2 linked regions of the Tribolium castaneum genome follow. The protein of the gene in region 1 purifies or fractionates together with the protein of each later gene. This does not show direct contact. Links are inferred from orthologs where the notes say so. Each region holds a gene or a part of one and is shown on either strand. Other genes may lie near its edges.

Evidence for each region. The genes of interacting proteins can lie anywhere in the genome.
Region 2: the proteins of SCAR (region 1) and HSPC300 purify together in Drosophila melanogaster (affinity purification with western blotting; 4 studies listed by BioGRID, with this or other methods). This does not show direct contact. The link is inferred for Tribolium castaneum from reciprocal best matches to the Drosophila melanogaster genes SCAR and HSPC300.

What each region holds. Positions count from the first base shown.
Region 1 is NC_087399.1:10,148,610-10,157,494, reverse strand, and holds the start of SCAR (actin-binding protein WASF3), read left to right. Parts: upstream 1-3,187; 5' UTR 3,188-3,347; intron 3,348-6,764; exon of another isoform or gene 6,765-6,904; intron 6,905-7,043; 5' UTR 7,044-7,059; coding exon 7,060-7,395; intron 7,396-8,885. Other genes in the region: uncharacterized protein LOC107398411, read right to left, coding at 1,503-2,159, 2,214-2,615.
Region 2 is NC_087396.1:20,956,009-20,963,116, forward strand, and holds HSPC300 (probable protein BRICK1-B), read right to left. Parts: upstream 2,981-7,108; 5' UTR 2,965-2,980; coding exon 2,844-2,964; intron 2,799-2,843; coding exon 2,716-2,798; intron 2,667-2,715; coding exon 2,640-2,666; 3' UTR 2,639-2,639; downstream 1-2,638. Other genes in the region: Not11 (CCR4-NOT transcription complex subunit 11), read left to right, coding at 340-377, 424-515, 559-704, 753-878, 938-1,240, 1,353-1,562, 1,609-2,067; ATP synthase subunit s, mitochondrial, read right to left, coding at 2,072-2,638; superkiller complex protein 3, read left to right, coding at 3,245-3,328, 3,720-3,952, 3,999-4,188, 4,234-4,812, 4,858-5,139, 5,185-5,361, 5,513-5,673, 5,721-6,823.

The sequences.
Region 1 (8,885 bases):
TGTAAAAGTGCTTGATGAAGTGATTGTCAAAAAAAATTCTAATAGACATACATTATTTAATAAGTGCTTTAAAAAGTGTAACGAACTAAGTTGTAGCGAATTAAATTTCCTGCAAAGTATTTGCGACGCAACACCATAACTATCTTCAACAGTTTAGGCTTAAATTAATTTTCCAATTTTTGAACAACTAAACCGACCTAATTCGTTTAATATAAGGCAAAAACATGCTTTCGCGGATTTTTTTAATGTTCTTAAATTTTCTTATTTCTTTAACCCTACTCGCAGTTTTTTGAAAATATGAGGCGATGTGCTTTTTTTAATGTAATTTTCGATATTTTTTGTATTACCATTACTCTTACAATGGTGAATTTAATGCTCTACCTGTCTGATTTTTTAGTTTGAGTTGTTCTCACTGTTTTATTTAATTCATTGTTCAACTCGCCATCTGGTGGCGCTAATAGATCATTAAGAACAGGAACATTTATTTGACTTTGAAAATGTTCCTTGTCATAAATGGATATTTTAGTGTCAACTTGACAGTAATCTGACACTAAATCTGCCAAATATGCCGATGTCCATACTTTTGTCTTTGACGGAATCCGTATCCTAGTTACTAAGTAGGAATAACGCTTTCAAAGGAATGTGGTGTCAACCCCTCTGTTTTTATCATGTCAATATAATTATTAATCAATAAGTTGATACTATGTATCTCTAGTAAAATTGTTGCAATTTTGTATTATAGTATAGTATATTGGAAATTTGATTCGTATAGTCATACAAGTCAAATTTGATACTAACCCAGTATCAATTCAAGTATTGATATCGTAACTTGACGAATACTCAATAGAGAACTTTCTTGTATCATTGAAAATGAATCTGGATTCGTTGTGAATTGTGATGCTTAAGAATAGTTTTGTTTTTCTAGAGGCAATTTGTTATTAAATTAACCGTACTATAGACTGTTGCGTCGATGTTGATGTATGCACGTTAAGTGTCTTTTTTTAAGTAAAGCTGCATATTGCATAGCGTTTTTTAAATACTAATCTAAAGCAAAAATACTCAAAAAAGTTTGCTACCCTGTATGTTACAGTTCAAAACACAACAGGGTTTGTTTTATCCGGAACAAGTAATTAATTAATGTTTTATAGTTTTATATTTTACTCAATGTTATTAACCATTTGCAATGTCTATTTATTTTTTTCTACAGCCGTCAAAAAATCGTGACATTTATGCATGGTTACCTATGCGCGAAGTTTGACGTTTTTTCACTGTGAAAAAATATTATTTTTTCACGGTTTCACAGTGAAAAAATAATATTTTTTAACTGTGCAGGCAACTCGATTTTTCAGATCATTTTGTTCCAACTTATTTCTGTTACAATTTTAGTAACACGAAAAGACATCAACAGCAACCGAAATGAAGAGACGGATCGATAATGAGAGGTAGTTTTAAAGGTTTTATAATTATACAGAACAATATTACAAAACAATAATAATAGATATTTACTTTGACATATGAAAATTAAATGTGCATGACGAAAACGTGCCCCCGTTTATCCCCAGAGGCCTGAGTGAAGACGCTTGTAAATGAAAGTTATTTTCGCCATTAAAAGAAGCCGATGTAGAAGGTTGAGTGATTTTGTTTTCTTCTGTGGAGGAAGAAGGTTGAATTTTATTGGCAATTTCAATTTTATTATTCAAAGAGTCCTCGATGTAACTTTCTGCCACTGTGCTGCTTCTCCAGCCCCCATGACGTTTAATTGAAATTAGATCACCTCCAGCATTCGCCAAAAGAGTGGCAGAGCTTCTTCTGAAGCAGTGACCAGTATATTTTTTAGGTTCGTCTTTGTTAAGCCACTTTGCAATCAAACTTGGTATCTCTCCGATTTTGTTAATTCCAACATTTTGATTCACACATTTTCCGTTGGTATACTTTAAAAATAAACGGTCACTAGTCGCCCGTGGAGGCCGCAAAGCTCTATATTTTCTGACAATTTCTATATTTTCTAAATTTGAAACAGTAAATATTCGTTCGCAGTGGGTTTTTGTATCAGGCACCTTCACAATTAAGACAGACTGTTTATCTTCTATGTCAGTTAGCTTCATTTTAACTAATTCTTCACGTCGAAGGGCTCCCGATATACCCAAAATTAGCACAGTCTATAAATAAAACGAGTTGTTTTGATTTGTATTACACTAATATGATAAGTTTACCTTCATCAGTAAATATATCTTGTCATCTGCTTCATTAATAAACTTGCTAATGTCTTCTTTGTCTAAAATTTGCGACTTCTTGCTTCTGTAACCTACGCTTTTGCTTTTCAGGTAGGGCACTAACTTCGGAAACTTACGTGTATCGATATTCTCTTTAACGTTTAAGGTGGCTTTCAACATCGCATAAAGGGCCCAGAGTGTTGGTGGCTTTAAGGTGGTAGACTTTTCTTCCAAATACGCCAACAAAACATTTTCCGTTACTTGATCAATCTTTTTCATAGAACACCACTGCCGAAACTGAAGATACGTTTTTTCGTACTGCGGTCTTGATTTAGCAGGCAAAAGATTCGACACTGCCGCGCTTGCAATTGCATCTATTTCGTTTTCGCTGCTAAAATCCATCACACTTCTTCAACAAAAATACCTATTGTGACAAATTTTTCGCAACTATCACTTTTATTTATCATCGTAACCATGCAAGCAACTCGATTTATCAGACCATTTTGTTCCAACTAATTTCTGTTACTTTTTTCTTCATCTGGAGGCTGTAGAAAAAACGTTGTTTGTATTTCGTGGCGAAATTCATGTTTTAATGGCGCCTTCGAATGTCTTTTAGGTCTCGACCTGGCGGTCTCGACTAAAATAACATTCTCAGGCGCCATTAAAAAAACACTCATTTCGCGCACTTAATACAAAAATTACTATTATTTTATAAATATAATAATTTAAGAAAAACAGTTTTTTATTACATAACGTTGCCAACACAAAAATCCCCAGTACGTTCCGCACGCCACTGGTAATTCCCCCAAATAAACATCAAGTGTCGAGCAATGACACCCTCATTCGCACAAAAATGTATTAAAATGAGGGTTTTCCCTCGCACGCCCCAATTTTATTTATTTTATCCCCAAAGTGGCCGCAATATTGATTGACGCGACGCCGCTGCTGTTGGTGATTTTCGCTCCGTGGGTGTGGCAGTCCTGCTCAATCGTGTTTGTTGGGTGTACCGCTTCGCCATTTTCTGCGATATTTATTAAATTATCGCCGTTTTTAACGAAACAATTAGTGTCGTGTGTGCAAAAACATGTGTGGCAACGTTTGCGCCCCCCAGTGAGTGTCCCAGACCATGCCGAGGTAAGAAATGGGCGGAAATCTCGACTCCTGCTAGTTGGCCTTTCCCCTTTCTATTTGACATTTTCTGCGAGAAATTGCCCCAAAATCTGGCCGTTTGCGGTGTCTGTTCGCGTAATTGCGACAAATGACTTGACCTTGCAGCTTGTGTTTGCTCATATTTGTTAAATGGGGCGTATGTGGCCCCCTAATGACTCACTTCCTTGTTGGAGACAGTATTGATGAGAGCGAAGCCAGTTTGGGGCACTTCCTGCCACGCTTTAGTTTATTAATTGGCGGTTAATAACCTTCACAGATGTCTTTCGCACGTCATGCACTAATTTATTTATTTCCATAAAGCGGTAACATATGGTGACGAAAACGGGAAACAGAGATTTAACCTTTTTTCTTCAAGAAATGTTGAAACGGTTTAGTTTTCACTTCTGTAGCGGTGCGTTTCAAAGTTCAATTGGTGAACGATTGCATTTTTTAAACGGAATTGATGTAATCACGTGTGATTCTGTTAAAATTTAAAGGGCACTTATTATTAGAAATGAGAAATCCAATAATTGGATTGGTTGTCGTCATAGTTACTGATTTTTTCGTCCTTCAACCCCTAAAATAACAATAACACAAAGGTCTACTACATTTGGGAAAGGTGAAGGAATACTTAAAATTAAATCACGCTAATCAGTTATGATAATTGTTTACTAAAGTGAGAATTGTTAAAAATCGATGTTTCTGTAATAAATGAATTGAAAACAAAAAAACGAGGTCAAAAACGCAATTTTTTCTAACTAATTTGCAAAAAATCATTCATTTTACATTTAATGGTTATTTTATTATAAATACTGTATTTTTATATCGGCATAACGACATATTATTGATGACCTTCGATGGAAATGTGATATTCTTCTAATTAAATTTTAAATAACTATTTTCTCAAAAATTAGGATATTATTCAGTTTAGAACTTAAGGGAGTGGCTTCCCTGATAAAAATTTACGTCGAAATTCTCTCAAAAATGTACTGCTTTATCTAGTGTAAATACTTAAAACAGGAATAATACTCCCAAGGTCTGAAGTGTTAATAGTATTTTGATGAATCATGGTTGTAATATTTTTCAGGTGTATTTAGGTGTTCCATATTCATATCTACTCTACACACATGTCTTGTCACACAAGTTTTTATCACATCTAGGGAACAACCAATTGATTCATATTCTTTATGAGCATTTAAATGATTTCAAAACACTGCCAAAAGTTTTGAATGTAATCAACAGAAGAAATTGAAAATCGATTTTTGCAAAATTATTTTTCATTAAATAATACCACACCCCTTTTTTTATTTATTTGTCCCAATAAGTATGATTAAAGGATTAAAGCCATACACAAAATTTTTGCAAAATCTAATCTATTAGAAAGCGTCTAAATGAAACTGTAGTCAGGGGAGCCCTGAAAATTTTATGAACATCTTCTAATCTTCTGTAACTTACGTTAAATATTGATTATAACCAAATTTTTTCTGAAAAAATTAACATTAACATTTTATTTTTTGACGATTTTTTTTACAAAAATAAAATAGACAACCAAATTATTGTGTAATAAAACGATTAAAAAAGCAAGAATAACACTAATTATGACATATTTGATGCGTTCCACAATAAAAAACATCCCAAAAAGCAAAAAAAGTAATTTTCAAGTTAAATTATTCATTTTTTGACCCATTTCATTAGAAAAGCTGAATTTAGAAACGTTTTAAAAGCAAAGCACCCATTACAATTTTTGACTTGATTTCCAAATGTCTGTGATTTCTATTGACAAGATCTCACAAAAAAGCTAAGTGTTTAGCTTAAAAACGATCTAACATGCTAAAAGAATATGCGAACACTGATTTCGATCTGCAAAAATAGTCATTTTAGATTTAAATTTGTATTGTTTAGACCCGCTTTAGCAAAATCTTTGAAAAAAAACTAAATTTAGAAACGTTTCAAAACAAATATAACGAAATTTTCGATTTGGTTTCATTATTTTTCTGGTTTCTAGCGCAAAATCATTACGTTTTTTAATATGATTCATCTAAATCTTGCTCTAAAAAGATCCAAAACGCTAAAAAAAACAAACATTACACTAATTTTGAACTGTATCAATGATTTTTTGGCTTTATTTTGGAAATTTTGCAAAATAAAGCATTTCTATGTGAAAAACGCCGTAAAAAAGTGAAAATGGAATCATTTTCAAGATAATTTTGTGTTTTTTGGCCGGTTTCAGCAAAACCTTGCAAAATAAACGTTTCCAAACGTTTTAAAAACTCAAAAAAACAAAAATAAGACGATTTTTTTCTTTTTTTTTAATTTCCATGATTTATATTGGAAAGATATGCCAATTTTGAGGTGTTTTAAAGGCTTTTGGCTTATTTTTGACAAAATTTCGTTAATAATTGTTTTTCAGAGTTATTTCGGATTAAGTAACTAATCTTTTGAAACAATATGAATTTTTTGCCAAAAAACAAAAATCTAAAGTTTTCGAAAAAAAGCAAAAGTAACAAACTTTGACTTATTTTAATAATTTTGCGGTGTATTTTTGACGAAATCACATTAAAAAATGCGTTTCTGATTGAAAATAGTACTACTATTATGGTTTTACAAAATGTTCATTGTGAAACCGAAAGTGGTTTCACAAAGAAAACTTTTATGCAATTACTTTTAGTAGATAGTTCTGTTGGATGTGCTGGACTGGGTGTCATCAGTCATAACTGTAATTTAGTGTGTAATCTGTCTAAAGCGTCAAGTCGTTTATTGATAAAGCCTGAATAATTAACAACATTAAGAGGAAATAGTTTGAACAGATTTTGATAAATTCAACAAAAAAAAAACAAACAACAAAAATAGAAAGTAGAAAAAATAGTATATTACACTCCTTCGTCGTGCTCCAAAACCATTCGTGTCACAATAGGACGTCTTATAAAACTCGTATATACTGTTACAGTTTGCCACAGTTAAGCGATAAAGTTGCGGTTGAATTTAAATATCGATTTTTTCTTAACATTGTAAGAAATTAATTAAGGTAGGGACCACGTGCCCATTTAAAAAAAAACAGTTTGAATTAAAATTAAAATTAAATTAAATTGGAAGCTAAACTTACATTGTATTCTTTTGTCACCTTTTTTTACCAAAATTACACACACACCTTTTATATTTTATATTAATGGTTTTCAATAAAAATATGCTTAACCAAGAAATGCGACGTTATTCTAACGTCATTTTTTTTCATTGTACTGAAATACAGGCCTTTACTAAATTTTAACATTAGTCTATATAGGGAAATGTAATTTGAACAGACAACCCAAGACCGAAATTGCTAAAAAGATATCTACAGGAAAAATTACTTACAGCAAAATGTAAACAAGAGATAAATGAAATGACATAGTTTAGTGATAACACCGATGATATAAATTTAAGTGAAAATATTGATTATTTTCAACTAAAAACTCTCATTAAAATGTAATTTTCTGTTCGCGAAATGGTAACATTGTTTCAAAATTTTTACAAAATGATTCGATTTTACGAATACGGTCAAAATCGTGAGTATCTCTTTCTATGTAACCTTTTCATTTGTGTAAATTGATCATTTTATCGCACTTGAAACATTCCAATTGAATCTTGACATTAGCATTCAGCACCTCACAAAACCCTTCCATCATGTTTATCTCTCGTTTCTAGTGAACACTAAACAACCATGCCTCTGCCAAAGAGGGTGATCGAACCGGTCCACGTGGCCAGAGGCACACTTCCAGAGGATTTTCCTCTAGTGTCCGAATTGGAAGCCGTCACCAACGGAACTTTAGCGAATACCGTACGACAACTTTCCTCACTCTCAAAACATGCCGAAGATTTATTCGGAGAATTGGCCAGAGATGCCCAACAACTCTACGACAGATCGAATTCACTGCAAGCGAGAATCGACAGACTCGCTATCAAAGTCACACAATTGGACAGCACCGTCGAGGAGGTCTCTTTGCAGGATATCCACATGAGGAAGGCGTTCAAGAGCACGGTGGCTTTCGATCAACAAGTAAGTTTCATGGTGGACTATTAATTTTGTTCTTGGTCATGAATCCAAAATTGGACTCGTTTTATGAATTGGTTTACGAAGAAATGCTCTAAATTCAAGAAATTTCACCAATACCAAGTAGACAATTGTAAAATTTACTCCAAATGTGGGTTTACAAGTTAATAGATTTGCCAAGTCAAAGTAAAATAATTTATTTAACGGGAAATTATGTCAAGACATAGGAAATAATGAAAAAACTGGGCTTATATAGTGGCGGTCACCTCGATTTGCGTGTGCGTCATCAATCTCATTTTTTCATTACCAACACAAAGCTATAAAAAATTATCAAAAACAATGCAAATTTAAACAGCTAAGGGCTATCTAAGGGTGGTATCCTTGAACATTAATGTACATGTGCACTTCGACAACACCGTCAAGTGTCACGAATTTGTCAAACTGACATTGACAGTAAATTATAGACGTCGTCGTATGGTTGTCGAAAGTGTTATCGGTGTTAATCGCAAGTATTTTCCGTTCGTTTATTGTGTTTTGTGATTTGCGTTTCGTTAGGTTTTTGATTCTGTGTTTATTAGTTCTTGTTTTGTGAATCTGTATTTTTTGTAACAACTCATAGTTTAAACACTTCGTAACCTCAAAAAATATTTGATAGTTTGTCACCGCTATGCCCCTGCTATGTAAACGTAGTGACAGAAATGTCAGATGACGCACACGCAAACGGAGCTGAGCGCTACCATACACAGTTTATTTTCACCTGTTTTTATATTTATTTAGAGTAATTTATTTTCCATAAATGTTGCAGTACGTCCCGTTAACGAGAAACTTCAAATTCTAGGGATTCCATTAACATAACGCAAAAAATTTCAAAATTAGAGCATTTTCGTTCACAAAATAAAATTTTAGAAATCTTGTCAACTTACAAAGTTCAAAATTACATAGAAATCGATAAGAAGTATCTTTTTTTTTCTATGGGTTTAGGTATCTTGAACAGAAATTTTGTTAAAAGAAAAATAACTACAAAATTGGACTTGAACGAGCTTTATCACTCACTAATTCGAAAGATTTCGTCAAAACAAAGTAGAAATAAGCATAGTTACATATAACATTGTTTTTTTCTACAGATTTATTAATGTTTTTTAACGAGAAACTCTCAAAATTCTGACGCAAAAAATTGCATACTACAACGTGGAAAGTGAAAACCTAAAGATGCAGAGCGTGTTTTCGAAGTATAATTCACTAAATTTGATACTTTGAACTATCTTATTCAACCATTTGTTTTGTTAAAAAAAGTATCAAGCTAAATTGCTAGCAATATCTAAATTTACCTTATTATAAGCACGTGATTTGTTTAAAATAGGTGTTTTTCAACGGTTGTTTGTTTAAAAATGTGGCGTTAATTTAGACGCGTTAATTTAACATAAGTTAATTTAAGTAGCCCCTTTGCTTAAAAAAGAAATTTCTTAGTTTCTTTGAATAGATTCAATTTTACGAAC
Region 2 (7,108 bases), on another chromosome or scaffold:
TATTTTGGGTCGACTGTCAAGCCAAACGCCAAACACCACACATGGGCGAAAATGCGGCGGTCGGGTCCGCATAAGGTCGAAAACTCCAACTCCCATTCATTGATTATTCTAATTAATCAACTTATTGATTATTTCAGTTGATTAGTTTATTGAATATTGCATTAAAAACTTTTTTCCTGCTTTTTATTTTTTTATTTTTGACGAAAAACACGGGTTTAGGTGTGTTTGGCCGACTAGATTTTTCGGTCTTATGGTGATAAATGTCAATGTCCGAATTGGGTTTATAGGTTAGAGTATATAAAATAAATTTCGTAAAAATAGGTGTTTTATTGCAAAACGATGGCCCTCACGGTGGAACAATGTGATATCTTACTCGAGTAAGACCAGTTCAATTTTGGCGCCCTTTTAATTCAGTTTTTGTAGTATTTTGGGTGAGACAAAGGTGAGAACCCACACTTTAGAAAGCCTTTCGAACGAGTTGCACAAAAAATTCGACTCTTGTGACTATTTTAAAGGTAAAAACCGCTATTTGATTACCCAAATAACTGTTTTTTTCAGTCGGAACTTGTCTGGTAATGATGCTTCAGCAAGATCTGTTGAAAGAGCCTGAGCAAAAACTTGTTGCTATAACGCTTCTGTATGAGTTATATCGGGGCGAAGCTCTGGCAAACACCCCTTTTGCCAACGTTTTCAACCACCTTTTGGTTTGTAATCACAGAAATTTAGTAATTGTAACATAGAAATTATCCTAGCACCCCCCGGAACACCAGAGTAGTGTCGGGTCCCCCAAACAGGAATATCCAGGCCAACTACCCAAACTGACACCACCAGAAAAACAATTCTTAACGCAACTGTTATCAGATGTGCCCAAAGATGCTGTAAGATTATCCAGGGCCTCCCCTGATAGGAAATTACTAAACGATTTTTTTTCTTCAAGATTTTGAAAAAAACAGCCACGCAAATAATCAATTCAGACGTTGGGAATACGCAAACAAATTTCGATTTTTCCGTTGTACAATTACTACTAGCCGAAAAACAGTCTGAATTGCCACACACTTGCAAAACAGGAATTCCTGTAGTTTTATCACTGCCTGAAAAAACTAACAATTATACGACAGAACGGAACGATTATGCAGCCCTTGTGAAAACTATAGCAACCGGTGATAACGCCCCCATTAATAAAGTGTACAAACCGGAATTTGTGACACTAGCACCGCCTTTGCTCAACACAGATGATGAAGTAAGGTTACATAATACAGCTTCTTTGTTTAATGCTATGGAGACGAAGGGAAATTTCCATTAATCAAGGAAGCTGTGATAATTTATTACTACCCTTGATTGTGTTTTTTAAGATGGTGTGGCTAAATCCGACAAACATCAAAGAACACACTGTAGCATATGACGTGACGATGTGTGTGCCTGACACAGCAGGCCAGGAGGCGAGACAATTGATGAACAAGGCGTACAAATCAGCGCTGTCTTTGCAACAGCAGCAACAACTGCTAGGCGAGCTGGAAAACGACTCAAAACTTGTGTACCACATTGGTTTGACTCCGTCCAAAGTATGAATCGAAATTTGGTGATTTTCGCTGATTTGAGTGCTTGCAGTTGCCCGAACTGGTGGAAAATAATCCACTTATCGCGATTGAAGTTTTGCTCAAGCTTATGCAATCGAAACAAATAACGGAATATTTCAGCGTTCTTGTCAACATGGAAATGTCGCTGCATTCCATGGAAGTGGTAAATCGGCTCACAACGACCGTGGATTTGCCCACAGAGTTTGTCCACTTGTACATTTCGAATTGCATATCGACTTGTGAGACTATCAAGGACCGTTATATGCAAAATCGGCTGGTTCGACTGGTTTGTGTGTTTCTCCAGTCGCTCATTCGCAACAAAATAATCAACGTCCAGGAGTTGTTTATCGAAGTTCAGGCGTTTTGTATCGAGTTTAGTCGCATTCGCGAAGCTGCCGCTTTGTTCAGGCTATTGAAACAGTTGGAGTCGGGGGAACAGATCGGACTTGTCTCCTCGCCAACGATAATGAAAGCAAAGCTCGAGGGTTGATTATTTAATGGAACTGTATCGTACAATGTGGCAGGCCGTGCTGTAATTTATCGACGATTTTTTCCCTCTCTTTGACGTACGGCAGATCGGCCAGAATCAGCTCTTTTAAGTTATTCAACGCGTTGAGGTGACTCAGCCCCGGCTCTGTTATATTCAAACACTCGGTGATTTGTAAATAAAGTAATGAGTTTTTTAAAACCGACAGCCCTTTCAACGCCTCATTCTCCAGATAGTAGCACTTGTGGAAAATGATTTTCCGGATGTGTTCGCACCCCACGAAATGGTCAAACCCGTAGTGCATTATGCTGGCTTCAGACGCGTTCACTTCCACGATGTGTAACCTAATCCTGTCGCTCGGCAGTTTGTTATAGTCTGTGAGAAACTCGTTGCAGTGCTCCCACTTGACGTGGGCCCCGTTCCGCAACAGCCACTCGGCACAAGACCTGTCAGGCCCCACTTGTTTCCGTCGTTCGTCGTCCACGCGGTTGAAGACGATGTTCAGCCAGTGGAAGAGGGTGCGCGTGTGGGGGATGAGCGGCCTTTGGAGGTGGCTGAGGCGAGTGAGGAGCATCTTATGTCAAGGTTTCCCCTTTGGTGACCTTCAGTTTATTTGTAAATAAAGCGCAGTGTTATGTAAATGAGACTTACACAAGCTTCCAAATAGTCGATCTTTCGCTCGAGAGTTGTCAACTTTTCGTTTAAAACGGCGAGTTTTGATCGACAAGATAAGTCTAAAAATAATTTTTGCGAGGTGTCAACAGTAAGGGGAAACTTACCGAAAGAATTGAGGAAATCGGTGATCTTTTTTATGCTGACGGTTATCACTTCGATGTATTCGCGGTTTACCCAGTCTTGTTGGATGGGCTTGGGGACTGTCTCTCCTCTAGGAGCAGCCATTTCCGCAAAAATACCGAAATTGTTGGTTACTTTTTAGGGAGTTTCAGTTTTTGCTTGACACTCTAACCCTCTCTCTTATTCTATGCTCTAACCTCGAAAAAGTTTCAAACAAGCTCGCTATTTTCGTAATTTAATTAAACAAATATTTTTTTTAATTAAATACTAAGTGCAAATGATTCGTTTTGTACGCTTTTGGTTATTTTCGAGTCTAGCTAATAAGTGGCAAAAAGTGCATTTGTAGGTTAGGCTTTTCCAAACAAGTTATTGTTTTGAGTGAATCATGAAAGACTCAAAATTAGTGTTGAAGGAGGCACGAGATGCCATCAAAAACAAGAATTATGAAACTGCCTTGAAACTATGCAAGGTAGGTGAAATTTTTATTATTTATAAGGTGTAGGGGTTGGTAAAACTGTCATAATTTACACTAAAAATTAAAAATTATCCGGTTACAAATTTCTAAAAAAACTTTGAAATCTGTTACCAATTGAAATAATCATTTGCGATCATTTCGAAATTTTGTTGCTAAATAGTCGGAGTTATCCGTTTTTTTTTTGTAGAAATTAACTTAATAAAATTAATAAAAGCATTGGCAATTTAAAATACTTTTATGTGTTCACTATTTTCTGATGAATCCAATCATTGTTTGATTCATTGTTTTTTTCTTTTTTTTCTTTGGACTGCACCTTTGTAGCAATTAGTTGCATAAGCGTTATCTTTAATTATGTTTGTTAGTGTGTGCGATTGTATTTTTGCAGCAAATACTGAAAGAAGAAAAGAACAATTACATGGCCCTTGTCTTCCTGGGAGTCTCATTACAGGAAACCGGTCAAAACGCCAAAGCTTTGAAAGCTTTCCAGGAGGCAATCGAAGCAAACCCTTCAAATCCCTTGGCTTGGAACGGTCTTATAAATTATTACGAAAAAATCGACACTAAAGAAACTAAACTTGATTTAATTAATGCTTACATTTCGCTAATTGGCATTGAAACGTAATTGATTTTAAATTATTTGGCATGAGATAATTAGCCTTTTCAGAGGCGAGAAAAAAATCCTCGAATGTGTCCAAAAACTGGCAAATTTGTGCGAATTCGGCGACTTGGCTAAAATCGTAACAGCGATTTTTTCAGTCCTGAAAGAGGGCAAGTGTGACAGTGCGGAATGTGCAGTTTGTTTGATTAATATTTTATCAAAAATTGAAAATCTCGCACCGGATTTGGTCCCAATTGTATGATTTTAAATCGTAATTTTGCAAATTAAACCAATTTTTTAGTACGAAGAAACGTTAAAACTCGCCTTAAACAACCAAAAAACCGTATGTACGAAATATTTCAGCGATTATTTAAACCTGTTGTATAAGCAAGACAAAGCGGGTGAATTATTACAACAGGCGAAAAAAATGCACGAAATGTTTGAATCAGACTGGATTTCTTTGCGTTGGATTTGTAAGATTTTCAATGAGGTTTACGTCGAGTCCGGCACTTTGATCGAATCGGTCGAAAACATGGCCAATTACAGCGAAAGTCTCTCTAAATTGGAGGCACCTTCAGCTACGGGTCTATTCACCCAAAGCATTTTACTAGTTGAACAGAAAAAAATTATCGAAGCGAAAGATGTTTTAGAGCAAGTTGTGGGGGTTTTACCCGGGTTGGTACACGCGTGGGTACTTTTGCTAAAATGTTGTATGCAACTCCTGTTGTACGACGAAGCCATAAATGCGGCAAACAAACTCGAGAAACTGTTACAAAATAAGAAGATTTTGAAGAAAAGTGTTAATGTTTTGATGGTTGAGGTTTTGTCCCGGTCGGAGGAGGAGGCCGACCTTCGCAAAGCGTTACAATTATTTGAAAATGTTTGTCTATTATTAGTACTACTTTTTTTCAATTGCAATTTCTAGATTGAAACTGAGGTGAAATCTGCGTGCAATCAACACTTGATTCGTGCAAACATCAATCTAAAAAAATTCACCGAAGCTAAATCGTTACTCCAAGAATTCAATTCTACTGATAAAACACACATTTTGCTCAAAGCCCAGTTGCTCCACAAGCAGGAAAAATTTTCCGAAGCTCTGGAAATTCTAGAAAGGGAAAATTGCGAGTCTTGTGAATGGTGGCTCGAAATCGGTTCGCTTTATTGGGATTGTGGCCACTTTGACAAAAGTCTGATCCCATTTTTGAAGGTTTCACCCAACGTTTAATAAACGGGACATAATCGTAATTTTCAGGCCACCAAATTGGACCCAAATAACTACAAGTGTTTCCTGTTTTTGGGCCATTTCTACAAGAGAAACAACGACTTTGATAAAGCTAGACGATGTTACGAGAAAGCTTTCAAAATTAATAAGCGATGTGCGGAGGCCGGGATCGAACTAAGCAAAATCTACCGCAAGTTAAAAAATTGGGTATGTAACAAATGAGACGACGCTAGAGCTAAAGCGTTATCTTTGACACTTAGCTGCTAGGTAACAACATAAATTTGAACAATTGGAGTAATCGTTACCGTAGCAACGCCCTATTAAACATTCTTACTTACATAGATTTCATTTTTTTAAGGACGCCAACTTGAACTTGTTACAAGCCCTCACAAGTGGAATAATTAACGCTAAAAATTCCTGGGCTTGGATGCAGCTAGGGCTACACCACTTGGAACAATTAGATTACGATAAAGCCGTTACGAACTTGCGATTCGTCATACGAATTGACGAAAACAATGCGTATTTTTCCACACTTGTGTTAACAAACTCGAAAAATTCAATTTTAGTCACTGCTGGGAATCCCTGGCTGACGCCTACTTGGCCAAAGGTGCCTACACTTCCGCTTTGAAATGTTACGAGAAAACGTCGAGTTTGGTGTCGGAAGCGTGGTATCCGATGTTACAAAAAGGGCACATTAAGCAGATTTTGGGCGAATTTGCCGAAGCGCGGCTCGAGTTTGAGGAAATTTTAAAATTTAACAAGTTTTACGTCCCGGCTTTGAAAGGCATGGCTGAGACTTGTCTGCTTCAAGCGAGGCATTGTTACAAGGATCAGAGACTGGGGACGAGTCGGGACCATGCTCAGGTGGCCACCGATCACTTGATTCGGGCTCTGAGCCAACGTGGCGACCTCTCGTGTTTGTGGAAATTGTTAGGGAACGGGTGTTTGTTCGTGGCCAATTTACCTGAAAAACATTCGTGTCTTTTGATTGCGAAAAAGTTCGTTGAAGGGAGGGACGTTGTGGGTGATACGGTTCTAGAGAAAAGTGATTTATTCGCGTTGGCTGCGCGCTGTTTTTTCAAAAGTTTGGGTCTAGTTGAGGATAATTTTTTGATTTGGCACGATTTGGCCGTTTGTTATTTATCGCACGGGCTTAGTAGCGGTTCAAGCGAGTTAATTACTAAAGCTCAAACTATTTTGCAACATTGCACGGCTAATAATCCGACGTATTGGCCACACTGGAATTTATTAGGCAATGTAGCGATGCATCTAAACCCTCCAAATTATAAATTCGCGCAACATTGTTTCATTAAAGCCGTTATCGCTGATAGTCACAGTGCCGTCTCGTGGACGAATTTAGGCACTTTGTATTTTCTCCTCGGTGATTTTAAGCTGGCAAATCAGGCGTTTTCGCAAGCTCAAAGATCGGACCCTAACTACGTTAACAGTTGGATAGGACAGGCACTTTTAGCCGAGACTTTGGCACACGAAGACGCTATGGATTTGTTTAGGCACAGCACCCAGTTAAGGGTCCACAAACAGGGGGCTTTGGGGTACGCACATTGGGTGTGCAAAACGTTGAAGGAGTCGCCGGTGGACACCGTCGTCTATTCGATACACAACATGCATGCGGTCCCTGTGGCTTGTGATGTAATCACCTGGTATACGGGTAAGTAAAAATGAAAAAATAAAAAGTGAGGTTTGGGTGCTCGTATTTTTTTTATTTATGCCAAAGTGTGGTCAAGCTCGAGTATAAGGGTTTTTAAAGATTAAACGAATTGGGTGAAAGAGTTTTTATTAATTTGTGACGAAAAAATGTGATTTGGGCGCCGATTCGTCTAGTAATTTATTGGTAGTCAGGTTGGTACCTCATGAAACAATTGGCGGTTGGTTAAACGTGATGGTGGCCGTTTTGTGTCCAACTTTTAGCTCAAAAATGGTGTTAAATCGGTTA